Linked DNA regions of Rhinolophus ferrumequinum. The protein of the gene in region 3 interacts with the protein of the main gene of each other region in a pairwise test. Links are inferred from orthologs where the notes say so. Each region holds a gene or a part of one and is shown on either strand. Other genes may lie near its edges. The genes, in order: RAB33A, ZFYVE21, RABAC1 and NUDT18.

Evidence for each region.
Region 1: the proteins of RABAC1 (region 3) and RAB33A interact in binary tests that used the Homo sapiens proteins (3 or more experiments, as listed by UniProt). The two-hybrid records come from large-scale screens. The link is inferred for Rhinolophus ferrumequinum from reciprocal best matches to the Homo sapiens genes RABAC1 and RAB33A.
Region 2: the proteins of RABAC1 (region 3) and ZFYVE21 interact in binary tests that used the Homo sapiens proteins (3 or more experiments, as listed by UniProt). The two-hybrid records come from large-scale screens. The link is inferred for Rhinolophus ferrumequinum from reciprocal best matches to the Homo sapiens genes RABAC1 and ZFYVE21.
Region 4: the proteins of RABAC1 (region 3) and NUDT18 interact in binary tests that used the Homo sapiens proteins (3 or more experiments, as listed by UniProt). The two-hybrid records come from large-scale screens. The link is inferred for Rhinolophus ferrumequinum from reciprocal best matches to the Homo sapiens genes RABAC1 and NUDT18.

The regions. Positions count from the first base shown.
Region 1 is NC_046284.1:25,857,616-25,865,386, forward strand, and holds the start of RAB33A (ras-related protein Rab-33A), read right to left. Parts: upstream 3,009-7,771; 5' UTR 2,767-3,008; coding exon 2,497-2,766; intron 1-2,496.
Region 2 is NC_046289.1:1,588,808-1,596,587, forward strand, and holds the start of ZFYVE21 (zinc finger FYVE domain-containing protein 21), read right to left. Parts: upstream 3,014-7,780; 5' UTR 2,960-3,013; coding exon 2,822-2,959; intron 2,327-2,821; exon of another isoform or gene 2,144-2,326; intron 1-2,143. Other genes in the region: DNA repair protein XRCC3, read left to right, coding at 4,905-4,959, 6,727-6,864, 7,176-7,388. UniProt on the Homo sapiens protein: Plays a role in cell adhesion, and thereby in cell motility which requires repeated formation and disassembly of focal adhesions.
Region 3 is NC_046298.1:39,928,439-39,935,428, forward strand, and holds RABAC1 (prenylated Rab acceptor protein 1), read right to left. Parts: upstream 3,010-6,990; 5' UTR 2,874-3,009; coding exon 2,818-2,873; intron 2,498-2,817; coding exon 2,285-2,497; intron 1,979-2,284; coding exon 1,881-1,978; intron 887-1,880; coding exon 785-886; intron 702-784; coding exon 613-701; 3' UTR 460-612; downstream 1-459. UniProt on the Homo sapiens protein: General Rab protein regulator required for vesicle formation from the Golgi complex. May control vesicle docking and fusion by mediating the action of Rab GTPases to the SNARE complexes.
Region 4 is NC_046301.1:44,313,030-44,320,932, forward strand, and holds the start of NUDT18 (8-oxo-dGDP phosphatase NUDT18), read left to right. Parts: upstream 1-4,889; 5' UTR 4,890-5,004; coding exon 5,005-5,262; intron 5,263-6,099; coding exon 6,100-6,313; intron 6,314-6,539; coding exon 6,540-7,135; 3' UTR 7,136-7,903. UniProt on the Homo sapiens protein: Mediates the hydrolysis of oxidized nucleoside diphosphate derivatives. Hydrolyzes 8-oxo-7,8-dihydroguanine (8-oxo-Gua)-containing deoxyribo- and ribonucleoside diphosphates to the monophosphates. Hydrolyzes 8-oxo-dGDP and 8-oxo-GDP with the same efficiencies.

The DNA.
Region 1 (7,771 bases), on a different chromosome or scaffold from region 3:
TTCAAACCCCTAGGGATGGCACTGGTAATTAAGAGAGTAGCCCCAAATATGCTAAATCAGTCATCCCCCTGTAGGGGTTGACATAGTGCTACTCTGGGGCACAGGGAGGCAGCCCAGGAGACGCCACACCCTACTCTTGAACTGAGAGAAGAGCTCACTGAGCCCTCTCCATTTTCCTGCGAGGACTGGCATTTTATAGCCTGACAGCCTTTCATTGCTGGCTGTGGTCTAGGGCCACCTCAGCCTGTCAGACTGGACTTTTCTCTCTTCCCCAAAGGGAGAAGCCTTTGGCAGTCACCTCCTAGCATGGTTTTGGTACTTGTTCCTTGAGAAACACCAGGCCATCAGAGTATGGGACCAAATCTTCTTAGATCATGCGCTTGCTGCTATGTTCTGCCATCTTCCCACAGACATGCTGGGCCTGCCTGCTGGCTTTGGCCCTGAAGTTGCAGCAGCTTTACAAGCGGCAGGGTCCCCATCTCCCCACACCCACATCCCACCCTGAGCTCCTTCAGAATCTGCTCTCAGAGGGCTCCTTCATATCACCAAGTTGAAAATATCACCTTCCTCTGAAAAACCTGTATTGAGCACTTCTCTGCACGTGGTGTCCTGCTGAGCTCCGTTTCTAGTGAGTCACACTGTCACAGGCACTGCCCCCTGGGAAAAAGTCCAGAATCTTTGGCAGAGACTACAAAATCCAGTTTGGCTAGGTACTGGGCTGTTGGAAGGGAAGGAACCTTTTAAAAATTCCCCTGAGGTCACTGGGTGATGACCCTCTTCCACTCGTTTTTCACCTCCCATTGTCCAGTTTCTAGCTTCCTTCTCCCCCAGACTCCCAAACACTTCCTTTTTCCTCCCTGTACATTTCAGGTGGACTCATTTCCCCTCTTAAATCCAGAGAGCTGTTTGGCTCAATGTGAAACTTGATTTTAAACAGGCAATAGCATTAAATTTTAAGGGTCTTGAGTGCTTAAGAGCACAGCCGTAAGTATATTTCTACTTTGGATGCTTTAGAAATTCCAGAATCTTACAACTTTACGTAAAGAAGCTAGACACCCTAGAGAAAGTTCTAACCAAGGAAATGTCAACATAAAACCCTGGGAAAGGAGAAAAGACAGATACTTACTTTGACTTTAAAAAGAAAATGTAGGAATTCCCCCCAAAATGTAAGAGGCAAGAAATATCACTATTTCAAAACAGTGTCCTATATTCCTGACCCTGGGGTTTCGTTGTTCTCGAGAACTTTCCCTTACCAGTACTGCAATGCCCATCTTCCTGACATATCTAGTGCCTTGGCCAGGTTTCTGAAGCCATTTTAAAACATGTTCATTTTAATAATCAAGGAGTCTGTACAGTTTACAATGTTCCACATTCTCCCCAGTTACTCAGCCCTTCTCTCCACCTCACGCCTGTGGTCATTTGAGCTGTTTGACCAGCAGGAGGGAGGTTTACCTTTGCAGGACAGGGTCTGACCATAGGCTCAAGAAAAGGCCTGTTGTGGGTCTAGTGGAGTTGGTCTTTAGTGCCCTGTCTTTTGAAGTGACTTTCCTGCCCATAACCCTGCCTCTCTCTGTTCCCCTGACACATTAAGCTGCCCTTGTCATGTCCCCCCTCCCGCTAGCCTCTGCACATTGAAATATCCTGGTCCTATCGAGTTTGCACTGTTGATGAACTGAAAGTGAGTACAAATGGTCAGACAAGAATATCTGTACTTAGCTGATCTCACAAACTAACGAGAGGGTAGGAGCAAGACACTTACTTCCCTTGGCCCTCAGAGAAGTTGCTCTGCATTTTTACAAAGGCCTGCTGAAGACAATACCAATAGAATGAATAATGGCATTAGGTACCCCAGACAAATAAAGAAGATATCATTTGAGGGGGACTGTTCCAAAAGAATAAGTTTTGTCTATTATGGAGGGCTGGCAGGTGACCCTGTCTCAATTTCTTTAAAAGGGCTCATGACTTTGTGCCAGAACCACCCCACTCCACCCCTATTCCAGCTCAGCCATAATCTTAGCCATAAACTGTAATTCTCTGTGGATTTCCATTCTTTCCTCCCCTGTAATGTCTCAGGGCTTAACCAAAGTGGGTTTTTGCACCCTATTGGCACCCAAGAGGAAGAAGAGACCTCAAGATGTGTAAAGTGCTTTGGGATCCACCCCACAGAGCAGGACCAGGTTACCTCATACCTCCCTCTGCCCACAGGTGCCGCTGCTCCTGGCTCAGGGTCAAGGATGGGATCTCACATGCTTTTCCTGGCAGGAGCTGTCAGGCAGGGACAGAGGGCATGAATGCACCCTCTCCGGCCTGCCCTAAAAAAAAACGGGCAAGGTGGGAACCAGGCCGCTGAGAAAGGCGAAAGAGGATGAGGAGGTGCTGAGGGTCTAGGGCTCAGCAAGCAGCGACGCAGCCACGAACCTGACCAGACCGTTCACAACCACTAGAGCATGCGTCAGGCGAGGACCCCTCCCAGAGCCCTCCCTTCCCGGACCTGACCGTCTGGATCACCTTGATCTTCTCGCCCTCGATTTCTACGGTCTTCTCCCTGAAGTCCACACCGATGGTGGCCTCAGTCTTGTCCGGGAAGGTCCCCCCACAGAAGCGGAAGGTCAGGCAGGTCTTGCCCACGTTGGAGTCACCAATAACGATGATTTTGAAGATGCGAATCTGCACGTACTGGTCCAGCGACGAGTCAAGCTCCAGGGATGCCAGGCTAGCTGCCGAGGTGGGCTGCAGGCTCCCATGGCCCAGGATGGGCTGCGCCATCTCCCAGGGACCGGACCGGGGCCCCAACCCTCCTGGTGGGCTCCACACAAAGAAAACGGCCACGTTAGTGCGCTCCAGGCGAGCGAGCTTTGTGCGTGTGTGTGCGTGTCCGTGAGTGTGTCCGCGCGTGTGTGCGTGCGCCGTCCCCGTGCGCGCGCGCGCGCGTGGGGTGCCTTTCACCCCAGGTCCCCCTCCTCCTCTTCCTCCTCCTCCTCCTCCTCCAGTGCACCCTCCTCGCAGCTCGGAGGCACCAACACAAAAGCCAGTCAGGGGAGGAGAGATGGAAGAGAGACTGCAAGGCACGAGCCCTCTCCTTCAGCCTTGCCCTCGGAGGGGCGGGTGGGGCGTGCGACCCCGCCTCCACCGCTGCAGCTGCCGTGGCGCCTTGGCCTAGACCCTCCCCTGTCTGGACCCCAGGGACACACCACAAAGAGGAAGCTTACAGAGGAAAGGAGGGTGGGGAGAGCGGCACACACCACCCCGGGATGGTCCTCCTTTCTCCATGACCCCATTTATTTTATAGATCTCAGGCTCCCCACCCCCATTTTCTCGGAGCGCACGGGGGTCCGCTCTGGAGCATTTCAGCCTCGGAGCAACACCACTTTACTCGGCGGGGACTGGGTGCGGGGAGGAGACACCTCCAGAGCTGCAGGCAGCTGAGCTGAGCCTCTGCAGCTTCCTCCCAAGCCTTGGGATAAAGGGATGCTCTGTTTTATTGAGGAAGCAGGTGCACTCGCGCGCGCGAGGAGCCAGGGAGGGCGCCGCCAATACACGCTGCAGGGCACCGGTGTGCATGTGTAGGGGGAGTTACTGTTTCTCTCACAGACTTGCCAGATGTGTGTGTGGGGGGGTGCGTGCCAGGCGCCAACCTTCCCTCATCACACCAGGAACACCCATCTTCTGAATGTTCAGAAGAGCGGCTCCCATTGGCTGCGGCAGTCAGTTGTGTTTGACTGGCCAATGGGGAAGGCCGGCCACCGGAGGGAGCCATACAGGGGGTAGGAGAAGCGGGGAAGCTAGTGGTGGCAGCTCCAGCAAAAGGGGACTTTGTTTCTGGGGCTAACCATTCCAAGCCCAGGTGGAGGGCTCTTGGGACAAGGCATAAATCTCACAGCGTCTTGCATTCCAGAGCCCTCCATGTAATCATAAGTCCTTCCAGAATGGTGGAGTTTCAAAAGGAATTGGAAACCCCTAGGAGGGTTCACCCCTCTGCAACTGAATGTAGAACAAAGTGGTTGGGTCTAATTTGTTAAAAGCCTAAATTATGCTTGGAAAATGATAAATGAACAGAACTTTCTTCTGGTAGTGGGGAGCAGCTTCCCCAAGCTTATTAAGCATCACACATCTTGGTCAAGACCAGTATTCCCTTTCCCAAATGTGATTTGCAGGTTCACAATTTCTTTAAAATAACTTGACTGAGGTACAATTTCCACACAATAAAGTGCACCACTTTCGTGTTTGCTTTAAGACTTGAACCATCCTTCCACATATTTCATAGGCTAAGGTAATATTAACATATGCCAGTAGCACTGACATGAGTTATTTGCTAATGTCATCAAGGTCAGGGACTCCAGCAAGACACATGAGCTGCCATCTTACTTGTGTGGGGCTCAGCTGCAGAAGAGACAAACATAACTAAATCCATTCCCACTGTGAGAAAAACAATTCAGTGCATCAGTGATAGGTCTGTAAACAAAGTGGAATATGACTGCTCAGCCCAGTCCAAGTTACTCAGAATGGCTGGGGAAATGGGGTCTTCTAGTTATACAGTGTTTCCCCGAAAATAAGACCTACTCGGACAATCAGCTCTAATGTGTCTTTTGGAGCAAAAATTAACATAAGACCTATTTTAATTTTTGCTCCAAAGGACGCATTAGAGCTGATTGTCTGACTAAGTCTTATTTTCGGGGAAACAGGGTAAGCTTTTTAGTTGAGTTAGCAGATATATTTATAGCTAACTCTTTTAGCATATATGTGGGTTACCCATTTCTAAAACCCTAGATCATGCTATTCAATATTAAAACCATCTCAAGAAGGATTTAATCTTAGTTGGATAATCCAAGGTCATCATTATGAATACCAATTATCATTATACAGTGGGAATGGCAATCACCATTGTACAGTATTTTTGTTTTTTATGATTGGTTGATGTCTAGATAATAGTTTGCAGCATCATTGTCGTCTGTATTTGAAGCTAATGCTCCTGGTAATCATTATCTACAGAAGAGCAGCTATTAAAAGGGGGGCAGGTAACTATGAATTAGGCATATCCAACAGGTAGAGCGGAAAGAAGCTTTGCCAATTTATAGCCAGACTTAATGCTAACTTTCTAATATAAAAAAACTATATTCACATAAGATTATTTAGATGTACTAGGTTTACAATTAAGTTTGTGAACTTATTGCAACGATGTTGCTAACATTTTTTTATTTTATTTATGAATACATTATGAATTTGTACCAGCTGGACAGTTAACCAAGTTTACTATCGGGAAGTGCTGAAAAGGCTGCGTGAAAAAGTTAGACAACCTGAACTTTTCGCCAACAACTCAAGGCTCTTACATCACCACAATGCACCAGCTCACAGCACACTGTCTATGAGGGAGTTTTTAGCTAGTAAACAAATCACTGTATTGGAACACCCTCTCTACTTACCTGATCTGGCCCCCAATGACTACTTTTTTTACCCAAAGATAAAGGAAATATGGAAAGGAAGACATTTTGATGACATTCAGGACATCAAGGGTAATACGAGGACAGCTCTGATGGCCATTCTAGAAAATGAGTTCCAAAATTGCTTTGAAGGGTGGACTAGACGCTGGTGTCGGGTGCATAGCTTCCCACGGGGAGTACTTCGAAGGTGACCATAGTGATATTCAGCAATGAGGTATGTAGCACTTTTTCTAGGATGAGTTCGCGAACTTAATTGTCAGACCGCATATGCTTCCAGCAAAAAACTCATCACTGAGTCTGAGAGTTCACATTATATTTGTAAGATAGAAACACTAATTTCTGGAGACTTGATATCTCAAAGTGGGCCCCATTTCCTAATAAAAAGTGTTTGTTACCTCTGTGGGATGAGATTTTGGGGAACTTCCACTTATATTTTTGGAGTTAGTTTTTGATGTGTGTATATTGCTTTTACAAAAAAAGATGAAATATAATTTTTAATTAAAAGGACAAGAAATCTACCTCATTGCACCTATTGCAAAAATAAGTTAAAAGTGCTGTACAATGCCTTTTCTTTGTTAATTGTGCATCATTAAATGCACAATTGACTGTCTTTCAAATTTACCCAGTTGTTTTCATAGGTACCTTATCATCATAATTTTGACAGTGTTTTCCAAAGCCTCATCCACCAACAGATATGATTAACTTTTTATTTAATCAATCCATGTTTATTATTGGCTTTTAGAAATAGCAAGAAATATCAACATCTGTGAAACTTTTAAAATACTAAATATAAATATTTTTTTTACCTTATTGTGGAATTGACATTTTCAATATTTATTCCCCAATGCAGCCCTAGGGGAAAAGTTGCCCACTGCCTGCACTTCTGAACATTACTCTTAATGAGCAAGGGATCCCTGGATCATTTTCACCGAGTAAAGACTGCTTTCTGGGTTAAACTTCCTGAAATGCCTTAGTAATTTCGTTCTCTATCCCTATTCTACTGAAAGCCAAAAATAATGTCATCACCTACACGATTGCGGCCAAACACTTTGGCTAGTTCAAATCTGGCTCCACCATATTAACCTGTCCTCATTTACTTCCTAGTATGTACTCTCTGCCATTGTCTCCTGAAAATGAGCTGGGTTTTGTTTCTTTTATACTTCCAAGCCTTTTGATTTAAACAGCATGGTGCTTCCTCTAAGATGCTTTATTTATGAATATTAGCTCATTTAATTTTCTTATCAACCCTGTGAGATTGGTAGATGAGGAAAGTGAGACACCGTTAAGTGACTTGTCCAAGTGGCAGAGCCAGGATTCAACCTGGGGCAGACTGGATCCAAAATCAATGGTGTTTAATCACTAAAAATATTACCTTCGGTCCCAATGTATTCACCATCTGAAATATCATTTCTCCTCCTCCATTATTTGAATTTCACTACTCATCCTTCAAGACAGGCTCAAGTAATACTTCTTGCTTGAAGTCCTTCCTTAGCTATTTCATCTCATATTCTTTTTTCTTGCTCTTGCACTACATCAGATATTATTATTTAAAATGACCAGTGTATGTCATCTCCCCACCTGGACAGTGACCACTTCCTATATTTTTCGTATCCCCTAGAGCTCTTTTCATATAGTCCAAATGGCAAGTGCTCAATAAATACTTGTTAAGTGAGTATGTAAACCAAAACTTTGAAAAAGGCATATGTTATGTTTTGCATACAGCCAAAATTTATTTCCAATTTAGCTTATATTTGATAGCCAAAACCCCTATTTACACTCAGCCCCGCACCCTACTCCTCCCACAACTCTGAAAGTCCTGCTTAGGCTTTCTCTCGCAGAAAGTCTGTGAAGCACGAACGCTTTTTGCCAGCACCTGCTCTCAAAAAACGAAGTCATAATAAAATAGCAAGAGACTATCCACAGCATCTGATACAGCACTTAGGACTCAGAATTACACAATATAAAAGCGGTATGGGAAAAGAGAGCGCGGAATGAAGACATGCCCCAGAATAGTGGTAAAGTGCCCAGAATAGGGGTTGGATGGGAAGGCAATTTGTAAAAGACGGAAGTCCAATCCGAATCTGGAAAGCCAGGAGCCCCGGCTCAAATCTATGGAAAGACTGGAAGTGGACTACAGCTAGAGAGAGAATCCGGAAGGCTTAGTACTTAGTAGTAGCTAGTGGCCTAAAACAGAAAAACAAAATTTGGTGCTGAGGCCACGCTTTTTGAGGTGCTATTAATATCAGTTCCCAACATCGACACAGCGGCAGCACTCGCCACAAACAGCCAGGCAAATCAGCCCCACGGGTCCCTCCTTGGACAGCTTTTCAAAG
Region 2 (7,780 bases), on a different chromosome or scaffold from region 3:
TGACACTAATCTGCACAGCAAAGAAGTGGGGGGACAGTGGGCGGAAGCTCAGAATGCCATGTCCTACCCAATTCGCCCCGCCTGTTCCCAAGCACCACAAATAAACCTGTTTCTCCCTGTGGGTCTGTCCATGCGGGAGTCACCTCCCCACACACACTGATCCTAGCGTCCTGGGAACACTGGACGGCAGAGGGCAGCTAATAGTGTCGCTCGGCGAGTCCCCCAGTACGTGTGCCACACCCTCCCCGTGAGCTGGCCAATGAAGGCCAGACTTGATTCTGATCTCCAGCCCAAACTGCTCCATTCCAAGTTTCTTTTCCTCCAGAACACTCTGGTTATTTCTGGACTCTAGGACCATGCCCCAATATGTTTTAAAATATACTTCCTCAAACCCAGAGAAGTCGTCCACCCTCACTAGGTCCCCCTCCTCCAAGCTCACTGGGCTCCTAGGGCTTTCCTTGGCTGTTCAGACCCCCGTTATTCATAGTTCTAACAGGCGGGGCGGGGGTTCTCGAGGGACACCCTGCCAACACTGGAATGAGACTTCCGTGAAGGAGGGTGTGCCACAGATTCAAGCATTTCAACCCAACTTTATCAGAATCTCACAAGAGTTCTCAAGACAGCCTGGGCTTGGGACACACCTCAGCGCTGACTTCCACACCCAAGGCCCACCAAGAAAGGCAACTATGCAGGGAAACATGAAAATTCTTTTAGGAAACACCCAAAGGGCTGAGCGACCATGTGTGCTCCCACACACACGTGCAGGCCCACGCAGCTGCGCAGCACACCTGGCTGAAAATTTCATGGGGGGATCAAATGGAGAAAAAATGTCTAAAGAGGCTCCTGGGGGAGTGGGTAATGATGGAAAAATGCTGTGACTCACTGGCCTGGCCTGTGGGTGACGCCCTCCAGGTGACTTCCGGGTCAACTGCAGATACCTACAGATATGCAGCCTGTCCCGTTCCCCCCCCCAAGGTCCTGGGGCCCCCTTTCCCATGATGGAAGAGACCAATTGGCCTCTATCTTCGCAGTCATTCACCGGCCTCCTCCCATGTCATTTTGAGCTCTCTCGACTTCTCCTTGACCCGATAACATCTGCCCGGCTCCCTCACTGCAACAGTTAAGGGAACTTGGTGACATATTCATTTATGAGGACAAGAGTCACGCTCTTGCCTTTTTTCCCTTTGATTATCTTTTAATAGCACTAACTAGGGAGGGGATGTGAGGTAAGTTACATCCTGTGTGTTCAAAGAGTACAAGTGCCAAGGGCAGAAATGTAGAAAAATGCGTCAACGGGGAGAAGAAACCCAGGGAGGCCGTGGCCAGCCCTGCTCAGTGACCACCCACACCCCAACGACTGCCTCGTGTCCAGGGCGACTCCGACCCTCCCTGTGTGCTGGCCTCTCTCAACTCAGAGGCAGCTGCCATCTACAGGCGGAGGGCCAGGGCTGGCATCAGAAAGCGACCAAGGGGCAGGGCTGGGCGGCTGTGTCCTCCTCCGGGTTGCCCTGCCTCCAGCTGCAGGCACTTCTCCGCCCACTGCATTAAAACACCTGATTTCAATCCTCCGCTGAAAACCTGCCACCTGTAACAGTGATTCTCCGGAGAGGAAAAGCAGTCCATCCAATACTAACGGGGTTGTAAGTTAAAGAACTTCAAAAAAAAAATCACAGCACTTTGATGGGGTCACACTAATGTGGGATATGAAACAAGGAACAAACAAAACAAACACACAAGCTCATAGACACAGACAACAGAATGGTGTTTAGCAGAGGGAAAGGGGGGTGGGGGAGGACGACGAGGGTAAAGGGGGCCAAATACATGGTGAGGGAAGGAGACCAGACTTCCCGCGGTGAGTACACAGCAGGGTACACAGATATTCATACTGTAAAGTTGTACACATGAAATTTATATCATGTTATTAACCAATGTTACCCCAATTCATTTAATTTCAAAAAATCACGGCACTTGGATGTCTTTTAGACATCTCCGATTTACAGGAATGCATGAACTCCTCTGCCTGGCTTCGCGCTGACAATTACTGACTTATGGGATGGAGTCCCAAGTCCCTGGCAGGACACAAAAGGGCCTTCAGAAGGTGCCGCGCCCACCCCGCCAACAGGGCAGCTCGAGGCCTCCCTACCCCAACTTCTCGCAGCCTCAGCTGCTCCTGCCGTTGCAAGCAGGTGCAGCTCCCCGCGCCGGACGCGCTTCTGCTCGCCACCTGGAGACTCCGACTCCAACCCGACTCTGCGCCAACATCACTCGCCACCCGCCACCACGTCCACTCACCCGGAGAACCCCAGCAGAGAGGTCTGTACGATAAATGAATACGAGGCTCCGCTGCCCCCGAGGTCGTGCAATTCACAAGTGACCTCCCGGTGGGCAAAGCCTGGGGCACATCAGGAAGGGAGGTCCGTGCGAGCGGCACAGAAACTTAGAGGCGGGGAGGTGGGGGACACCGGAGCCCCTAGAGAGGGAACCAGGCAGAAGGCAGAGTGCCCAAGGCCCCGGGCGGGGCCGAGCGCGGGCAGCAGGAGCCCAGTGGCGCGGAGCAGAGGTGCGCGAGGGAGGCCGTGAGGGGCCCCGGGGAGGGCAGCTGGGGCCAGAGGAGGCCAGCAAAGAGCAGAGGGTGGGTCGGGCTGGGGAGGGGCGTCCGAGAGACAGGGCGAGCCCGGGGCGCGGACAGGGGTCGTGGGGAGCGGACGAAGATTCCGAGCCAGGGCTGGGGGCGAGGTCCCGGGGCGCGGACCGGAGGGGCGCTGGGCGCCGACGGGGTCCTGGGGCGCGGACGCAGGTCTGGCGGGCGGCCGCGACTTACCTCCTTGTCCGGAACCCACTGCGGCTCCTCCAGGCCGAATGGGCTGCCGAAGGCCCGGTGCTCGGGCACCATGCGCAGGCCGCTGGGCGAGCGCACCAGCTTCTTGGCATCGCTGCGTGCGGCCACCTCGGAGGACATTACGCCGCCTCAGCGATCGCCCGCCGCCCTCACACGGGCCCTCGCCCCGCCAGAAGCCCCGCCCCGCTCGTGCGGCTGACGGCGCCCGCACCCAATCGCCAAGCCCAGCCAGGAATGCGAGCCAATCGGCGCCAGGGCTCCGCCCCGTTGCTGCGCTCTCCAATCTGTGCAAGGGCACCACCTCTGCCAACCGGAGGGCAATCGCCAATCGTCAGTGAGGGCGGGCCCGGGCACGCTCCGCCCCTCTAGGGGCGATTGAGACTTTGGATTGGCCAGTTAGTCTGTGACGTAGCCGCTACTTCCTCTCTGATTGGCGTATCTGGCTCGGGGCGCCTAGCACTCATTGGAAGAGGAGGTTTGAGGGGCGGGACGGCGTGAATAGTGAAACGCGCGAGGTGGGAGAGGTGGCAGTTCGGAGGGGCCGGGGTAGGAGCAAGGGAACGTGGGGAGCGGAGGGTGGGAGGTGGGGGAGGGTTGAACACCGGAGTGGCCTTGGGCACAGTGGAAGCCAGGCGAGGGCAAGTGGGGACCCCTGCGGGGGCCCGAGGGGGACGGCGGGGCCGCGGGTCACTGAAGCCCCGGGCCCCCGAGGCCCTGAACCGCGATCATCACCCGCGGGACGGCGGGCAGAGGGACAGCTGGGGCGTAGGTCCTAGCGGGGTCCTGTCAGTGGGAAGGAACCTGGGGCCAGTGCAGCCTGGACTCGTGAGCGGGGTGAGAAGGTTGATCCTCGGGGCTGTCACCCCGCAGGGTTTAGAGGCCACCCAGCTTCAGGGCCAGTTTGGTCTATGGCAGTAGTTTAGGGGCGGTGGGGTGAGAGGTGAACCAGGACCCTGTGAAGTTGTGGTGTTTTAGAGGTGGAGACAGGGCGGGATCCAGGGTAGTGAGTGACCAGTCTCTCCTGCCCAGCAGCTGCCTCCCAAGCTGTCTGGACCAATCGGCACTGTAGGCTCTTGGCATCACGACCCTCGCCAGTGCCAGACCAGACCCTGCGAGTGTGAGGGTGCAGGAGACCTGGTTCTTGAAGCTTCAAAATAGCCTAATATTGTCCAGGTCCATATAGTATTCTCAACATCGCAAGGAACAGTCCTCAGTTGTGTACGTCCCATCAGCCAAGATATTGGGACTTCACGAGTCAGCAGAGCACTGGGACTTGGGGTGGACAGTCACCCTGGGTTTGGCCCAAGTGGCTGCTGGTCTTGGTCCTCGCGTGTCCTGCCGTTTTGGGAGGCCGTGAGGGGATTACGGAGTGGCTTGCAGGAAAGCTCCTGGGAGACCCTGGGTTGAGTTTGCGGCAGCCAGCAGGCCCCTGGAGGAGGCCACCCACGTGGCTGGCTGAGGGCAAGGCCTGGCTGGACACAGGCTGCGTTGTTCTTCATTGAGGCAGCTTGGTGGTCACCGAGGTTCCGACCCCCTCAGCATCCTTCAAGATTCCAAACTCACTTTTTCCACTCTTTCCAGATTCCCATGGAGACACTTTTAAGGGAAATTAAAGTGGCGAATGCAAGGGACACTTCATCTGAGTAAGCCCAGTGCACGTGGATCTCCAACTTACACAGCGTCCTCGCCCAGGACAGGTGGGTCAGGGCAGGGCCAGGACTCGGGCTGGAGCTCATGTTCACTTCTGGCACTCTCTGCAGGGCACGAAACGGGACAGCCATGTGCTCTGGCAACCAGAATGCAGTAGGTGGGGTGGGGGGGCCTTCGAGTGCATCAGTGTGTGGATTGAGTCCACGATTTCTGAGTTACCAAAGGACCGCTCAACAGGAGTGCTGTCTCACACTTAACTCAGTGGCACTCCTGGTACGTAACATCTGTCCTCCAACCTCTAGGCTGCCGGTGAACCAGGCCGCTGTCACTGCTACACTCGCTGAGGTGACAGCAAGTGCATCAGAATTTCTGTCCCTGGGAAGTTACTCATCTTTGTGGTCAGCACGCTGAAGAAATGGATTTGGATCAACTGGATCTGAATCCCAGAATTATTGCTGCAATTAAGAAAGGTATATTTCTTGGTACTTACATATATGCAATAGGTGTGTACCTGTGTGGGTGTACATACGTGTATACACTTTAAGTAAAACAAGTCACCGAGGTCGCCTGTCCCTGTCTCGGTCCCCACTTTGCTCACTCTTCCCCGAGACAGTCGGTCTTGATTGGTTCACTGATGCTGGACCGTGTGCGGGCTGTTTAGTTGTGTGTGTGTTTAACTGAAAGGACTATTTTAAAGTTAATTTTATTTTCATCCAATTAACATGTGCATATCATCTAAAAGTGAACCGTAACTGCTCGCCACTTGTGAGTCCTTTAGCAATTTTTTGTAATTATATCTGGGTTTCTAGAGAATGTGCTTACGTTGCTGTGTTTAGTGTGTGGGTATCACCAGTTACTCAGATTCCTATACGGGGTGAGGGCTGGCTGCTTGTACCCCACAAGTACCCCTACTTCCTCCACCTCTACCCCCACAGTTGGAACACAGTTTGGGTCATCCCAGATGTCAGGGTTGTGAGTGGGGACCTAATGGCCATCTCGGAACCAGAAGGGGTTATGACTGTTTTTTTCCTTGTACCACCTTTGTTTCCCGCGCCCACCCCCACCCCCACCCCAGTTAGTAGTTGCCTCCTTTTTCACATGCTGCGTTCTCTGGGTCCTTCTCACTGATTTTTCCCAACTCCTCCCGTCAGTTTGTCAAACAGTGGCTCTTTTCTAAATGCTCAAAGGATGGGACAGCTCACCCACTCTGCTTCCTGGCATGTCCATCCCCAGCTCCCTGTGCGGCTGACGTCCTGGGGCCTTCATCTTCTGTCTCCAGGGCATGTTGTCAGGGATGCTTCCGTATTAGGATGCTGGTTGATCCACCTGGGGGTTGGTGCTGCAGCGTGTGGCAATGTCCTGCGTGGGGCAGGGTCTCAGCCCTGCTCGTCCACCCTTACTTAGCTGTTGCTTTTTTCAAAGAGTGTATCAGAAGTTTTGATTTTCCTTTCATCCAGTCTGACCACATTTGTGTTTTAACTGGAACATTCAGGGCATATGTACTTAAGGTAATTCCTGATAAATGTGGGTTTAACTCTCCATTTATGTTAAGCTATTTGTATTGTTTTATTTGTGTGTTGTTTTCTCTTTTTTGCCTTCTGGCCTGGCTGGATATAGTTTTAGCAGACATTTTATTCTTTCTACTAGTTTGAAAGTAATGTTCTTTACCCAAACCCAAAATTAATTTATCGACTCTCCTCCCAAATTACCAGGTCCTCTGGATGTATTAAGTGTGATATTCCGCCTCCCCCCGGCCCCCGGCCCAGCCGGTGCCCATGACGCTGTCACACTCACACGTTCTTTTCTCTGTTAGCCCTGCTGGCCACCCCGCCGTGCCCGCCACCGGCTGGTGCAATGGGTATCGTTGTGGCTTTCCTTGCTGCACCCCCTCCCTCGTGTGTGGTTCCCCACTCACCCCCACCCCGGCTCAGCCTCTAGTGCATGGTGTGCAGGCTTCCTGACAGATGTCTCCTGGCGTGGGACTGGGTAGCCACCTAGGAGAGGCTGTCTGCCCACCTGGTCCCACTGCTGCAGCTCAGGGGTGGGCCTTCCCCAGGCCCTTTCCCTCCTTGTCCTGCGGTCATCATCACACTCTACCCAGGGGTTCAAGAAGCAGTGGATCCAGCCCTGCCCACCGGGTCCCCAGAATTGGAAGACAACGCACCTCTTGTCACTGTTGTGTTGCCTGGCCTTACTGTAGTCTGACCTTGTGCTGTAATTTATTTGTATAATTTCAGCCAAACTGAAATCCATAAAGGAGGTTTTGCATTTTTCTGGACCGGACTTGCAGAGACTGACCGGCCTCTCCAGCCCTGATGTGCAGTACTTGCTGAGCACAGCCTCCTCACACTTGCGGGGCCGCAGTGTGTTCACAGGTGGGCAAGGACAGGTCTGCTCTGCCAGCGCGCTGGGCGTAGCTGGAGCCCTCGTCCCTGCCAGGAGCCGAGGGCCGTGTGCACAGCCAGCACCGAGGAGGAGCCGCGGGACGTGGTGGCCGCACGGGGATGGGGCCGTGCTGAGGGCCCTCGCTCTGTGGGTGGGTTCTGGGAAGGGCGAGGCCGAGGGGCACAGGAAGCAGGGGGAGTTGGCAATCAGGCGGAGCCCAGGCTCCCTGTAGCTGGCAGGGGCCACGGTCCCGCCTCTCCCTCCGGCCCCGCCCACCTGCCTGACGCCCCGCCCTCCCCAGCCCTCGACCTGCACCGGCTGGAGGAGAGGTTCCCCGCGCAGCACCAGCGCCTGAGCCTGGGCTGCCCGGTGCTGGACGGGCTCCTCCGCGGCGGCCTGCCCCTCGACGGCATCACCGAGCTGGCGGGACGCAGCTCGGCCGGGAAGACCCAGCTGGCGCTGCAGCTCTGCCTGGCGGTGCAGTTCCCACGGCAGCACGGAGGCCTGGAGGCCGGTGAGTAGCTGCTAGGTTGGCGGCGGGCAGGGGTCAGCTGTGTTCTTGGCCGTGTTCCATCAGGGTTGGGTTCCTGCAGTTCGCATCCCCGCCTTCGCCTTCACTCCGCTTAGCGGTTCCTTCGCGAGTGAGGGGACCTCTAGGAGCCGCGCCCTGCTGGCCAGCCCCTGCCCCACACGGACCTGCAGGTGGTCCCAGGCACTGTGGGGCTGACATGCGTTCACACAGCAGCAGCTTGCAAGCCGTTTGGCCCAGAGCCACGTGTGCAGGGCGACAGCTCTTCACTTGTAACTGTTGGGCAGGTGAGGTCCGAGGGCAGTGGTGCGGGGCTCCCTGCCAGCTGGTGTGTGTGCCATGAGACCCGCTGGGCCTGGCGTTACAGGGGGTTTTCA
Region 3 (6,990 bases):
AGGGTACTTTTGCGGCTAACCCCCAATAAAAAGCCTGGGCACTGAATCTCTAATGAGCTTCCCTGGCAGACATTTCACACGTTGTCACAACTCACTGCTGGAGGACGTAAGCACGTCCTATGTGACTGCTGGGAGAGGACTCTGGAATGCTCATGCCTGACTTCCTCTTGATTTCCGATGTACCTTTTTCTCTTGCTGATTCTGCTTTGTATCCTTTCATAATAAAACACAGCTATGAGTCCAACTGTATACTGAGTCCTCTTAGCAAATCATCAAACAGGGGGCTGGCCCTGGGGACCCCTGGCACAGTTTCCTTCCACAACTCTTTTCTCCTCCTTGGCACTCACCACCATTGCCATCCTATTTTAGTTATTTAGTTACTGTCTTCCCCTCACCGTGTGTCCCCCTCTGTTCCAGTACCCCAGCATTACCCCGCACAGACCCACAGATCCTGGGAGCTTATGTGCTGAATGACAACTACAACAGCTTTATTTCCAAAGCTGGTTCCCTCCCTGGACTTGTGATGGGAAGAGGGCTGTTGGTTGGAGCAGCAGAGCCGTGCGGGACAGGGGTGAACAGGGATGGGGCAGCTGGCTCGGGAGGCTGGACACCTCACACCGGCTCCATCTGCAGCTCTTCCCCGTCCACGGCCTCGATCTGGTGGAAGGCGGCATGGGAGCCAATGACCACGAGGGTGGCTCCTGCAAGAAAATGGACAGTTCAGGGCCTTGCTCCCTCACCTGGCCCCCACCACCCACCCCCGCTACCCAGCCCCTGTACTCACCCAGGACCCAGAAGACAGCAGAACCTGCACCAGCCAGCCAGAAGAAGGGAAAGGAGACGGACCCAGCAAGCGCATACTGATGGGCAGGGCTCACCTCTCGGCCTGGGGGCAGACAGCGTGGGGCAGTTGTTGACACGTGTGTCCTCTCCCAGAGTAATCCCGGATGCCCCCAACAGTCTGATGTCACAAGCTTTTGGGAGCTTTAGGATCATCCAAACTCATGCCAAGGTCCTCCAAGTCCTGGCCCCACCCATTTCTCCAATGTCCCCACGGTCCGCCAGGAGTCTCAGACTGGTGGCCCAAGGCCAAGTCTGACCTGTGGAAGTTTTTTTTTAAGTCTGTACAATATTCCCCAAGAATGTGATTAGTGGCTAACAGAGAAACTGAATGATTTCACCTAACAATAGATTTCTGGTTTCTTGTGGCAGAGTAAAATTGGGTCTGCAGGCCCGAGGGGGCTGCAGCGGCTGAAGCCAGGTAGTGACTGTGCTTGAGGAGCTCCCTCCATGCCCTGTGCTTGCCCACCAGGCCTGTCCACCAGCCTATCTCTGTCATGTACGTAACTTGCAGGCCGTTGAAGGACTGTATCAGGACTACCTGCTTATCTGATCCCAATTCCTCCCTGTCCTCACTCCAAACATTGAGCTTGCTCTAGGTGGGGAATGTTTGGTGCCAGTCTGGGACCATATGGGCCACAGGCCTCAGCTTCCCTCTGTGAGAAGTCCCAAGATCTTTCTGGTCCCACCCAGGAAGCAGGACAGAGGCGTGGGACAGATCTGGGCCAGTGTAAGATCGCCACCTGCTGTCTACTATGGATACCTGCAGCTGACGCTTTCTGTACAAGTCAGGGAGAGAGGGGAGGAGTAGATTTAAGGGACAGCATCCAGGAGGAGAATGAGCCCCGGGGGCTCTCATTCTAGGTTTGGGGAATAGCAATTTGGGTGGCTGAGGCTGGGTGGCATTATCTGGCGCATGTGAGATTTTAAGGGACCAAGTTTGGGGGTTTAGGAAGACTTAGGTGTGGGATGTAAGGCTTTTGTTCCAAGAGACCAGAATTTGAAGGATCACGGATGCATCTGGGCAGGGGATTTCTCACCAAAGAGCACAAACTTCGACTGCAACGTGCGCAGATAGAGGATGTAACAGGCACCAAAGAAGACGGCCAGAGCCACCAGCAGCATGGGGGACGTCATCCTGGAAGAGGGCAGGGAAGCATTCGTCAGGCAGCTGCGGCTGGCACTGCCAGGGGGACAGACCCTGAACTTCTACACCGGCGGATGACAGGCTATGTATGTCCTTGAGACCAGGCAAGTTCAGGTGACATTTGGTCACACTGGGTCCTGCTCAAGCTGATGGGGGAGACCTGGCCCTTCGGGGAGTCTGGCAGAGCTATCCCATGGGGACGGTGCCTGGCCAGGGAGAGAAGGGGCTGGCCGCTGAGGGCGGGGCCGACCAGTGCCACTTGGTTGGGGCGGGGGCGGGCGGAGAGGCGGCACTCACACGCAGTACAGGATGAGGCCCAGGAACACGAACACATAGTTGCTCTGGTAGTACTCCACGTTGCGTACAAGGCGCTGACACAGCTCGCCCAGGTTGCGGGGCCTCGAGAAGCGCCGCTGGTCCACGAAGGTGCCCCAGGGCCGGATGGTCGCGCGGTGCCGCTCCAGCCACTCACGGCCCGCGCCGGATGGGATCAGTTTCGGCAGCAGGGTCCTGGTGGGCGGGGCCAGGTCAGCGGTAGATCAAGACCGAGGCGGGGCCTCCAGCAAGAGCGGGGATGCAGGAACCCAAACCCCGGGGTTCTGCGGGTGTGCAGGATGGGGGGGACGGGGGAGGGAGGGGTAAGGGTCTGAGGCTCCTGGATCCCAGGGGAAGAGGGGGCCGAGGGCCCAGGCTCCAGAGTCCTCGAAGAGGAAGCCAGGGGCCTAGACTCTAGTCTCTGGGGATCCAGATTCCTGGGACCCGAGGGAGAAGGGGGCAGAGGACCAGAACTGCCGGGTCTCAGTCCTGGGAGCTAGAGTAGGCTTGCTTACGTGGCGCTCAGCCCTTCCGCCTCGGCATCCTTCTGTTGGTCCTTCTCCGCCGCCATGTCTGCGTCGTGAGGGGTAGAACAGCTGTAACGAGCCCTGAGCCCCTCAGACCCCTCGGGACCCGCAAGAGCTGGGCCGCAACCAGCTCAGCGGACGTGGCGCCTTTCGGAAGCCGTGGGGGGCGGGAGTTCTGTCGCGGAGCACTGTGGGAGTTGTAGTCCTGATGCTGTCGGGAAGGGTGGGCGCCATGATGGTGGTCTGGCTAGCAAAACACATTCGGGAAATGTAGTCACATAAAGCGACAATGAGCGCCTCTGGGTATTGTGGGAGTTGTAGTTTCAGTAGCCGGGCGTGTGGCGTCGCGGAAGGTGGGTTGTCACGAGTGGGCTTTATAGGAGCTCTAAAGGCGAAAGCAAGTGTTAGGTATTCTCTCTTGTGCAGTGTACAATGGGGACCGTGTAGAGCTGTCCTTCGGGCTCTAGAGGGCATAAGAAACACCTGGAGAGCTTGATAAAACACTAGATAAAAATTCTGATTTAGCAGATATGGGGTGGGGCCCATTTATGGATAGGCATTTTTTTTAATTGGAGAAGGGGAATAGGACTTTATTGGGGAACAGTGTGTACTTCCAGGACTTTATCCAAGTCAAGTTGTTGTCCTTTCAGTCTTACTTGTGGAGGACGCAGCTCAGCTCCAGGTCCAGTTGCCATTGCTAGTTGCAGGGGGCGCAGCCCACCATCCCCTGTAGAAGTTGAACCTGCAACCTTGTGGTTGAGAGGACGCGCTCCAAACAACTGAGCCATCCGGGAGCTCAGCGGCAGCTCAGCTAAAGGTGCTGTGTTCAATCCTAGTTGCAGGGGGTGGAGCCCACCATCCCTTGCGGGACTCCAGGAGTTGAACCAGCAACCTTGTGGTTGAGAGCCCACTGGCCCATGTGGGAATACAACCGGCAGCCTTCGGAGTTAGGAGCATGGAGCTCTAACTGCCTGAGCCACCGGGCCGGCCCCTAGATAGGCATTTTTAATAAGTACCTAGGTGATGCTGCTGCTGCTGGTGTATGGACCATATTTTGAATAGTGAGACTCTAGAGAATTCGTGGGAATCTATTCCTTCCTCAAGAGACAGGCTAGCGAGAGGGCCATGGTTGCTGCAAAGCTCCCTGCTCAATCCTTGGGCTCTCAGGGATAAATGGTTTAGGACTAGAAACCTAGAGACACCCTTCCCCTTCCCCTTGGATGGGAAGAAGGGAAGTTGGGAAAGGAAAAGGGTTGAGGACATTTAAAAGAGAATTTTTTAATGAAAATCCAGGCTGTGTTGACCTTGTCACCTCCCTGAACCTCAGTGTCTTCATCTAGACAGTGAGGATCCTGATGGTACCACACTCGAGGTGTTAGGACGATTCAGTTACATGGTCCCAGTAAAGTGCTTGAAAGAGTCTCGATACTTTGCAACTGCTCGATAAATGGGAGTGGGTGTTATTGCTACTATATTATCATGAATGTTACGACTATTTCAGAGTTCAGCCTTCTCGAGTTTAACAGTAATGTATTAGGGGCTGTTGGCCTGTATCAGGGAATGCCCCAGAGTGGCTGGCATCTCAGGCCGGGGCCTTTCTTTTCCCTAGTTCCCACAGCACTGGTTTTTCCGTCTTTGCCCCTGCCCTTGCCACCGAGTTGCAGGAAAATGACTGGCATTCTAAAGGGGTGCACAGAAAATCCTCAAGAATGTGTGTGGCAGTGTTGGGAAGCCTGTGCTCCCTTTCATGGACCGAGGGCCTAATTTTCCAAGGCTGGGTTGGGCTGAAGAAGAAGTCCCACATGGGATATCCAGGCAACCCTTAACCCCAGTTTTTGTCTTCCAAGGTTCACATCCCTTTTAGATTTGGGCTTTGAGGCCTGCGACATTCCCAGGAGGTGGGGTAGGTGGCCCCTGCTAAAAGGGCTGGTGGAGCAATAAGCAGGGAGGACCCTTGGGAAGTCCCAAGCTGAAGCTGAATGAACTACACTTTGAAGATCAGTTGGCTCATTACTGTTTATTTCCCGTTTGTCAGACACAGACTTTTAATAGTCTTGTTCAGGTTTCCCACTTGGGTCCAGCTTGGCTTCAGGAAATAAATGGCGGATGGCGAGTGCACACTTAGCTCAGAGCATTAATGGGGGAGCAGCACCTGAGTTCAGAGGTCACCAGTGAAAGAGCCCCCAAGAAGAAGATGAATCTTGGGGAGCAGAGAGTTGAAGGCACAGGTCCAGCTGCTTCCTCCCATGGCCAACCTTGGGAAAGTTGGGTTTGATTTTTGTTATGAGAGCTATTGGATTTCCTTATAGGAACTCAGTGAAAATGGTTGTACTCCATACCCCACCAGTACTTGCTCTGAGCAGAGGACATAATGGGCAAAGGTCTGGAGGTGTCGAACAGCATGGGCCATGGATGGTGGGGTCCAGAGGCAAGGACATTGTGGGAGGGGCCCCCTGAGTGGAGTATGGAGGGAACTTTAAATCAGGGGATTTGGAGAGTTGGGGCCTTGTCCCACAGACAATGTGGGAGAGAAGCCCTTGAAACAGGGATTGTGGAAGAAGGGGCCCTAAGGTAGAGATATTGTGAGATATGGGAGGATCCCTCAGACAAGAGGCTGGTGGGAGATGGGGTCCGTGAGAGAGGGGACCTGTGACAGGTGGGCCTGAACCAGGGGGAAGATGGGAGGTAAGGGGGTACCGGAGAAAACTATGAGAGATGGGCCCCGGCCCTGTAGTCCCTCCAGCCTGAGGCCTCCTTCCTATCTCTTGGATCACCAGAGGAAGAAGAGCTGGGAGGAGAAGAAGACCCTAGCATAGACAACCAGAAACCTGGGTTATATCCTTGCTGTGTGACCTCAAGGAAGTCCCTGCCTTCTCTGGGCCACTGATTGCCCACTTGTCTATGGGAGCATTTCTTACCCTGTACCCTATGAATAGTTTCTGAGGCCTCCCTTGAAGAGGTCCAGGCTCACATAACCCCTACCAGGACCAGGCAGGCTGTGTCCTGGGCATCATGAGTAGTGCCTGGCACACATGCCCCTGCCCTTTGACTAACTGCCCCCTCAGGTTCAGGCACTCCTCCTCCAGCCATTGTCTTGTGCAGTGGACGTGTGTACACACTCACCCACACTTGTGAGCTCTCGGGATGCCAGCCCCAGCCCCTCCTGACTCTCACCTCTGGGCTGTATTAACAAGGCTGCCTCAAGGGAAGTGGTGTAGCTACCCAACCAGAATGGCTAAAATTCAAAAGTCTGACAATATTGAATGTTGATAAGGAAGTGGAGCAACTGGAACTTTCTTTCATGCAGTGTGGGAATGCAGAAGGATACAGCATCTTTGGAAAGGGTCTAGCTATTTCTGTTAAACATAGTCCATCCCAAAACCAGCAACCCCACTCCTAGGCATGTATCCAACAGAGATGCATACATCTGTCATTACTAGAATGTTCCTATTCCGAGCAGCACCAATTGTAATAGCCCCCAAAGTGCAAACAAGTGAAATGTCTATCAACGGGAGAATGGATGAAGAAATTATGTTATAGCCACACACAGCAATGAAAATGAGTGGGCTACATACATGTGACAGCTACATACATGGGTGTTTGTCACAAACGCGATGTTGAGAACGAGAAGTCAGACACGAGACAACATGCTGTAAGTTTTCATTTATACAAAGTCCAAGAACAGGCACAGCTAAAGGATGGTGACACACATCAGATCAGCTGTGGCTTTTGGGGGGGGTGGCGCTGACTAGAAAGAGGCATAAGGGAACCTTCTGGGTGGATGGAAATGCTCTATATTGATCTGGGTGGTGGTTACACGGTACGCCTTTGAGATTTGTGCACTTCCTGGTATGAAAGTTTATCTCAATAAAAAGAGAAAATTGCACAGTGACTTAGAACTTGGACAGCCAGGTACAAATCCCAGATTTGTCGCCTCTCAGCTGTGTGAATTTGAGCAAGTCACTTTCCCTCTCTGTGCCTCCCAACCGTGAGGATTACATGAGCTGATACACACAGAGGGCTTAGAAGAGGGCAGGGCACAGAACGGACGGTTCAGTCGCCACTGTCACCATCATCACGGTCGGCACTGTCATCACCCCCCCATGCTCCTTCTCCTCCTCCAATATGCGAGCATCACGAGTCTGAGTCCCTTCCTCTCCT
Region 4 (7,903 bases), on a different chromosome or scaffold from region 3:
CAGGCTTGGCTGGAGGGGATGATAGTGGTGAGGGCCTGTCCTGCTCCCTTCTCTCACCTCCCTCCTTCTTATGTTCCATTAAAGTCTGTTGTTTTGTGAAAGCTGCCAGTGTGGTTGGCCCTGCTCCTGCAGGCCACATGGGGGGCGGGGGGGACATGGAAATGCAACAGGGTGGGCAGGAGCTGAGGCCCTCGTGACAGGAGCCTCAAATACCCTTGCCTGCTCTTCCCTGGACCTGGCCCTCCCACCCCCCAACTTTCCAAAGAGCAGATGGAACCTTCCAAAGGGCTGCTCCTGAGGATATTCCTGGCAGCAACAAGGCAGAGACTGAGGGTGCAGCAGCAATGTGGCTTGGAGCCCCAACCCTCCCCCAATACTCCAGGCTCCCCCATCTCTCCTGTCTGACCTGACCTGAAGCTCCGGGAGTTGCCCAGGAGAGTCCTCCCCCTGGGCTTGGCCTGCTGCCTGAGACAGTTGGCAGCCCCGTCCCATCCCCAGGGCCCTCTGGTGTGGCTCTGCTGCTCTCCTGCCCTAGTACATCTCAGCCCCGACATGCTCCCGCTCGTCATACCTAATTGTTCTGTGGTGGTTCGGGAAATGGTGTTTTTTTTTATGAAATAAAATTTTTTATTATAAATTTAATATACTTTCAGAACATTCAGAAAATAAGACAAAGTCCCCTCTAAGCCCTCCACCACTCACCCCCCAACCCAACCACGGATAGTATTTTGGTGTATTTCCTTCTAGTATTTTCTCCACGGGTCTGTTTTACACATAGTTGAATTGGTGTGCTTTGTACTTGGTTTCTTTCTTTTAACACTATTGTGATCATTTTCTATGTCGATACCTAACCTTCATTTTAAACAGCTGCTTACATTCCCCAAAGTGGCTGTGCCATGATTTACATAATCGTCCCTCATTTAAAAAAAAAAAAAAGTTGTTTCTTCATTGTTTGCAAAGCTGGGTTTTCATTTTTTCATGGGATAGAAAAAAAATTAAGGAACTGCCACACTTTATGGTGTCAGTTTTCATTTAACTGATCTCATTTCATCCCTTACCACAATTTTTATGTAGATATTATTTATTTCCATTATATAGAAGAGGAAACAGGCTAGGGATAAGGGAGTTACCCAAGGTCACACTGCAATTTAGTGGCAGAATTGGGATTTGAACGAAGTGTCCTGACTCCGGCTGCCTCATTTACATTATAGTCTTAGCACTCAATGGCCTTTGCAGATGGGCTTACTGTCGTCTCTGTCCTCCTTCCAACATAAGCACGTTAGAGCTCATCATGTTCCAAGTAGCAATGAGTGACCCATGTCTACCTACACTTCACCTTACATAGCTGTGTCCTGATGTCACCCCAGGACCCCAAACACGGAGTCTTTCCTGTGGGAAGATGGGGATGGCCCTGTCACTAGGCCTGTTTCTTCCCCCACAGACCTCTCTGTCACCTCCCCTTCCGTGGTAGGTCACGGCACTCTCCAAGGACATAGTGGGTCTGACTCCTTGCAAACACAGGTGGGCCAAATGTCCCAGGACTGGACCAGGGATGAAGCCAGTCCAGGTGGGGACCGGTCCAGAGACTCAGCGTGAAGCATTCAGTGGCCCTCTTCCCCAAGGTGGCTCAGCGGGCTCCCCTCTCAGTCTAGCCCTGCCCTTTTGGCCTCTGCTGCTCCCAGCAACCTCCTCCAGCCCCTCTCACTGGCCCAGTCGGCACAGAGGCACAGCCCTCAAAGCTGGAAATGACCTCAGGTGTGTAGACCAAATGCCAAGTTTTTCTTATAAAGTACACTATTTTAGATTTTTAATTTTGAAACGACTGTAGATTTACAGTTGAGTCACAAAGATAGGACAGTTTCCAGTTACTCTTCATCCAGCTTCCTCTCATGTTGACACGGTACATAATCAAAACTAAGAAATTAATTTCGATACAACACTATTAACTAAGCAATAGACTTTATTGGGATTTGTCACGCAGGGTCTCAGCTCCTGCTCCCCGCACAAGAACGCGGGATATGGTGAGGCCAAAAAGGAACAACGGAGCCATAGATAGGGGCGTCATACCACTATATTCTCGCTGGCAGCTGGGTTGGAGGCACAGGAAGCAGGAGCCACACGATCCGCAACCTGCCGTCTGCTTCTCTGTCAACCAACCAATCAACCAGCTTAGCCACGGCAGTTATATCAGTGGCCAATGGCTAACCGGTAACAGCTGATGGCCATCTGATCACAGCTGATGGCCGTCTACTATCTGAGCCAGCACCTTTCCACATGAGGTCAAGAGCAGGAAACTGCTCTCTGGGACTCAGTCCCCACAGAATTCCACCAGTTTTCCACTAATGTCTGTTCTGTTTCAGGATGCACCTGAGCCTGCATCATACAGATGGCCTAGACGATAGATGTGGCTCCCCCAAGGTCATTCAGCAAGCCAGTGGCAGAATGCAGGCTGAAGCTTCCTCCTCCCTATACCTGGGGCTACTGTCCTCCTTGCCCTTCCCACTTTGACAAGGGACAGGGCTGGCTGCTCTGTGAATGAATCTAGCGTCACAGACACCCTTGCCCCACCCTTCCCGCCCATCCCTGTCCCTGTTTCCGAGGTTGCCTCCATCACCTTCCTGTGCACGTGCTTACAAGCACACTCAGGTCTACATGCCCTGAGTTGGCTGGCTCAGCCTTCGCTCCTGTGGGTCCTGTACTGTGTGACACTCTTGCCCACCACCCCCACCAGTCAGTGCTCTTCCCTCTCTGGGAATAGAGGGCGCAGAGCAAACTGGATGGAGACCTTTCTTTGTTTCTGGTTCTGTCGGTTTCTATCTCAGCACCCCCTCCCTGCCTCCGCTTTTCCCATTCTGTCTCAGGGCCTCTCCTGCCTCAGTCTAATGTGTGCTCTCCTTCTCCCAAAGCCTTGAAAAAGTGTATTTCCTGTTGTCTCCCTCCGCTCTCCGGAAGGGCTGGTACACCCCCTCGAGGGCCTTGCCTATGCCGCCCTTCACAGTTTACAAGCGACTTTCACGTTGCCTCATGTGCTTCTCACCACAAGGTGATTAGGTCCACTTCACAGGAGTGCTTTTCCCAGTGATAATGGGGGGAGTGGAGCCAGGGTTTGTTGCAGTCTTTGCTGTTCCAGGCAGTCAGGCCGTCTGGTGTTTATCTTAGGCTGCCTCTGAGGCTTTCAGAGCCCTGCCCAGACATGACCTCATTCTCTCTCAAATCATCCCCGGGAGGCAAAAAGGAGTCTGAGACCCATACTGTTCCCACTTCACAGATGGGAAAACCGGAGGATAAACACACACACACACACACACACACACACACACCAACTACGTTGACAAGTTGCTCTGCAGTCCTGGAGTCCCGACTCTCGGTCCCGTCATTCAGTTGTTTGGGAGGTGAGATGTTTAGGGCTGGAGGGCAGCAGTATTCACCAAGTGCCTCAAAAGATTGCAGGCCCACTGGGGATCCCCCACAGACTAATATAGGGCCCTACCTCCAGGGAATTCACAGGCACTTCAGTTTGTGAGAAGGGCCTACAGAGGCCATCTGGTGCAGCTGGAATTCCTTAGTAAAAGCTAGTTCCGAGGTGGCCTGGGGGCACATTTCATGAATGTGGGCCTTTGTGTGGTAGTAGGAGAGCCCAGCAAGGGGGTTGGTGGGCTGCCTGGTGATGGTGACCTATGCTGGATTGCCCACGGAGCTCCTCCCATGGCGTCTCACCTTCCCAACAGTGTGAAGGAACAGTTGTTGTGAGCCTATTCTACAGATGAGGAAACTGAGGCCCACACCTTTTCCAGGGACACAGAGCCAGCCAGTAAGCAGAGGCCTGGTATCTGGCTCCAAGTCCAATGCTTCGTCTGATCCAACAAGCCACTGTCCCCTCAGGTGCACTAAGCCAGCAGGAGGAAAAGGGAAGACCTAACTGAGGATGAGGAGCCCCGACTTGGCTGGCTTCACAGTTTCACTCCAGCTGGCCCTGCCGTCCTGTCCTGAGAGGAGGTTAAAGGAACCTCTGAGGAGGAAAGGTCAAGCTGGGAGAGAAGCAGGAGCTAGCCAACACCCACACCCTACTCTCAATGGGGCTGCCTGAGCCAGCTGGGTGGGGGGGCAACAAAGGTGAAGGAGCACGGCTCAGTCTGCACGGAGAGGGCCCTGCAACTATGTGGGAAATGGCGTGGGCAGTGGGTCGGGACACTGGTGAGGGCTCTGCCTGCCTATCCCCGGCCCTCTCTCTGCCCCAGCTCCCCTCCTCCCGTCATCAGGCGCACCTTGGCCATCCCAGTTCTGCTCTCTCCCTGCTCTGAGCACCGTCACACCTCCGGCCCAAACCAATCATTTAGCACTTGTCTTATAACACTGAGTTGACTGTTTTTTTAAACATGTCTATGTCTACGTTCCCAACTAGATCAGAATCTCCTTCAAGGCAAGAGCTCTCTTCCTCCCTTCCCCCCACTACGGTGACATTCAGTACATTTTTAGTGAAAACGGGGGTTATTGGGGGGAAGTGATCGTTTCGGGCAAAGCAGTGGTATGTTTATGACCAAAGCTGGACAGTGGGTCCCGGCCTCGCCCCGGGCCTCCGTGACGTTATCGGTGTTGTTGTGATGCTACCGTCGCTGGCCACTGTGGCTCTCCGCAGCCTGCAGGCAGGATGACGTACCCGTTCGAAACCGGTGCGGACTTGCGCGCGATGGAGAAATCAGCAAGGCTGGCGGCTAGAGGTGCCGGGAGAGGGCGAAGAGGAAGGAACCCTTAGAGAAGCCGAAGCGGGCGGGGCCGCACGACGCGGTGACCAGCGCGAGCCAGCCAATCCGGGCAGGCCGCGGGGACGCGCAGCCTATCAGTGGCTGGGACTTGGCCGGCGCTTCCTCGTTCGCGAGCACGCCCGGCGCGAGTCGGCGGGGGAGGGGACGAGGGCCAGGGTGACGCACCACCGGCTGCACCGCCTTGCACCCCACCCGACTCGGCGGGTCTGCGGGGCACGGCCGCCGCCTCCCAAGGGACTGGATGGCCTCGGAAGACCTGGCGGTGGAGCTGGCAGCGGTGCTGGGGGGCCGGGGACTGTGTGTGCAGAGTTGTGACTCGGAGCCGGCCGAGGAGCCGCCGGCGCCCGTGCGGCTGCGGAGGAACGTCTGCTACGTGGTGCTGGCCGTGTGCCTCAACGAGCAGGTGAGCGTCCGCCCGCCGGCTCTCCGCCCGGGTCCCGGAGCGCGCAGCCAGCCCCGTGGGGACAGACGACCTACCGGCAGCAGCCACCGCTTCTTGGTGGGTGGCGCGTTCCAGTTTTGCAAAGCACTTTCACTTCACACTGACACCTGAGCCTTGTGCGGCCCAGCCCTACGATTGTCCGACGAACAGAGGAGGAAACCGAGGCCAGGAGCCTTTGTCTCATCCCACTAGGCCTCAGTTCCTTGAGGGGGGATTGTTTTATTCCTCTTCCTTTCCCCAGAATTTAGTATAGCGTCCGCCGCCGCGGAGTGGACTCTCATAAAGATCTGTCCAGTGCTGCAGAGACCTCCCCTGAATTCCACGGACAGTAATGGCACAACTTGCGCTTACGCTCAGACCCACTCACCCCTGTGTGATGCTCTTTTTGGTGCTGATCCTTGTACAAATTGCTGTAACAACAGTTAGAAGGGACCGGGACCATAGGTAGGAGTTGTATAGTGTGTGGGGTGGGGGCATGTTTCAACCGCAGACTTCAGTGTGAGGACGGGCCACAAGCAGTTTTTAAACCATGAGGGGAGGTGAGAGAGACAGTGACATATGCAGACAGTGCAGGACACATGGCACCTCCCCTTGTGGGGCCTGATTCCCTGTCCTTGAAGCAACTCCCGGGAATCTTAGCCGCTTTCTGAAATGGAAGTCCAAATGCAAAAGGATGAATTGCAGAGAGGGGCATCTGCAACTGGCAGCCACAGAAGAGCCAGTCCCCAGGAGAGCTCAAGAGGTTGAAGGTGTCCACCAGTAAGGGGGTACCGGGCGACTGTGTTTGAGATTTCTGTCCCCAAGGCACAGGAAGGCTTCCGGCTGTGTTCCTCCTTTGGAACACAGGCTTCCAGCCTGGCTGTGTGGGGGTGAGGATCCTCTCTCTCCCCTCAGGATGAGGTGCTACTGATCCAGGAGGCCAAGAAAGAATGCCACGGGTCATGGTACCTACCCGCGGGGAGGATGGAGCCCAGGGAGACCATCGTGGAGGCTTTACAGCGGGAGATGAAGGAGGAGGCCGGGCTGCACTGTGAGCCTCTGACATTGCTGTCTGTGGAGGAGAGGGGCCCCTCCTGGATCCGCTTCGTGTTCCTCGCTCGCCCAACAGGTACAGCCCACCTGGTGGCACTGTGGGCATGGGGCAATCGACACCTTTCCCCCAGCTTGACCTCCCGTGAGATGAGCCCCTTTTGTGGCTGGTACAAGCCTGGCATCTCCATATTTCAGTCTGAGGGTCAGAGCTAGAATGCCTGGGTGGCTATCAACTCTGCCAGGCCCGGCACTTCTCTCAACACGGACCCTTTCCCCCACCCTGTCCCCCACCGCTCCCCCAGGTGGAGTTCTCAAGACTTCCAAGGAGGCAGATGCGGAGTCCCTGCAGGCTGGCTGGTACCCACGAACCTCCCTGCCCACTCCGCTGCGAGCCCTTGACATTCTGCCCCTGGTGGAGCTGGCCGCCCAGTACTGCCGGCAGGCCAGGCACCCTCTTGTTCTGCCCCAAGAGCTTCCCTGCACTGTGGTCTGCCAGCGGCTTGTGGCCACCTTTACCAGTGTCCAGACAGTGTGGGTGTTGGTGGGCAAAGGGGGGGTACCTCACTTGCCCATCTCGGCCTGTGGCTTTACCCCTGTGGAGCAGAGGGGTGGACTCAAGATGGCCATCCTGCGGCTCTTGCAGGAGTGTCTGACCCTGCACCACTTGACAGTGGAGACCAAGGGGTTGCTTGGACTGCAGCACCTGGGCAAAGACCATACAGATGGCATCTGCCTCAATGTTCTGGTGACAGTGGCTTTTCGGAACCCAGGTATCCAAAATGAGCCCCCGAAGGTTCAGGGTGAGAACTTCTTTTGGTGGAAAGTGATGGAGGAAGACCTACAAAGCCAGCTCTTACAGAGGCTTCAGGAATCATCTGTCGTCCCCCTCAATAGATAGGAAGGTGCCATCAGTGAGCAAGGAGGTGGGTGCCTGTGCTCCCTCCACCGCGGTTTTGCCTCCTTCTGAGGAAGGCAGGTTAGCAATCAGGGATCTTTTCACATTGGGAGCAGGGCAGTTCTCCTGCTCAGGGGGACTTCCATCGCCCCTCGCTGTGGAGCAGGTCCCTCCATTGTACCAAAAGGGACAGTGCCTTTTACCAAGCAAGGAGTCCAGAGCTCAAGAACCCAGTTGCCCAGAGGTATGAGGGCACCGCTCCCTAAGGGGATGCAAGAACTTTCTGAACCTGAGATGGCATCTTATCATTTTCCACGCCTACTCCTCCTTTGGTAAAGGCCTAAATTCAGATTCTCAGGCACTTAGAACATGGGGTGCTGTGGGAGGTCACTCCAAGGAAATGGTCCCCTTGCTGAATAAATAGGTGTTGCTTACTTTACCTTCCCACCTAAATGTCTCTGTGGGGAGGAAGTGAGCAGGAAGGGGGGACTGCCCTCAGAGGAGAAGTTCCTCCCCTTGTACCACTGACAGCCACCCACGCCATCTTAGACAGCAAGCTGACGCTGTAGGGGCCAGTCTGCCGGGTAAGGGGTGACTGAAGCAGGCAGGTTTCCTGCTGTCTGTGTCCTCCACGGCTTGTGTTGGGCCCACTGGGGCCCTCTTCCTCTTGCCTGCCACGGTAGGAAGTGACCGTATCCCCATCAAGGTTTGAGCAGTGAGAACACCAGGGAAGCTCCAGGTGGGCAAGGAGCTGTGAGAGCTTCCGTCGCC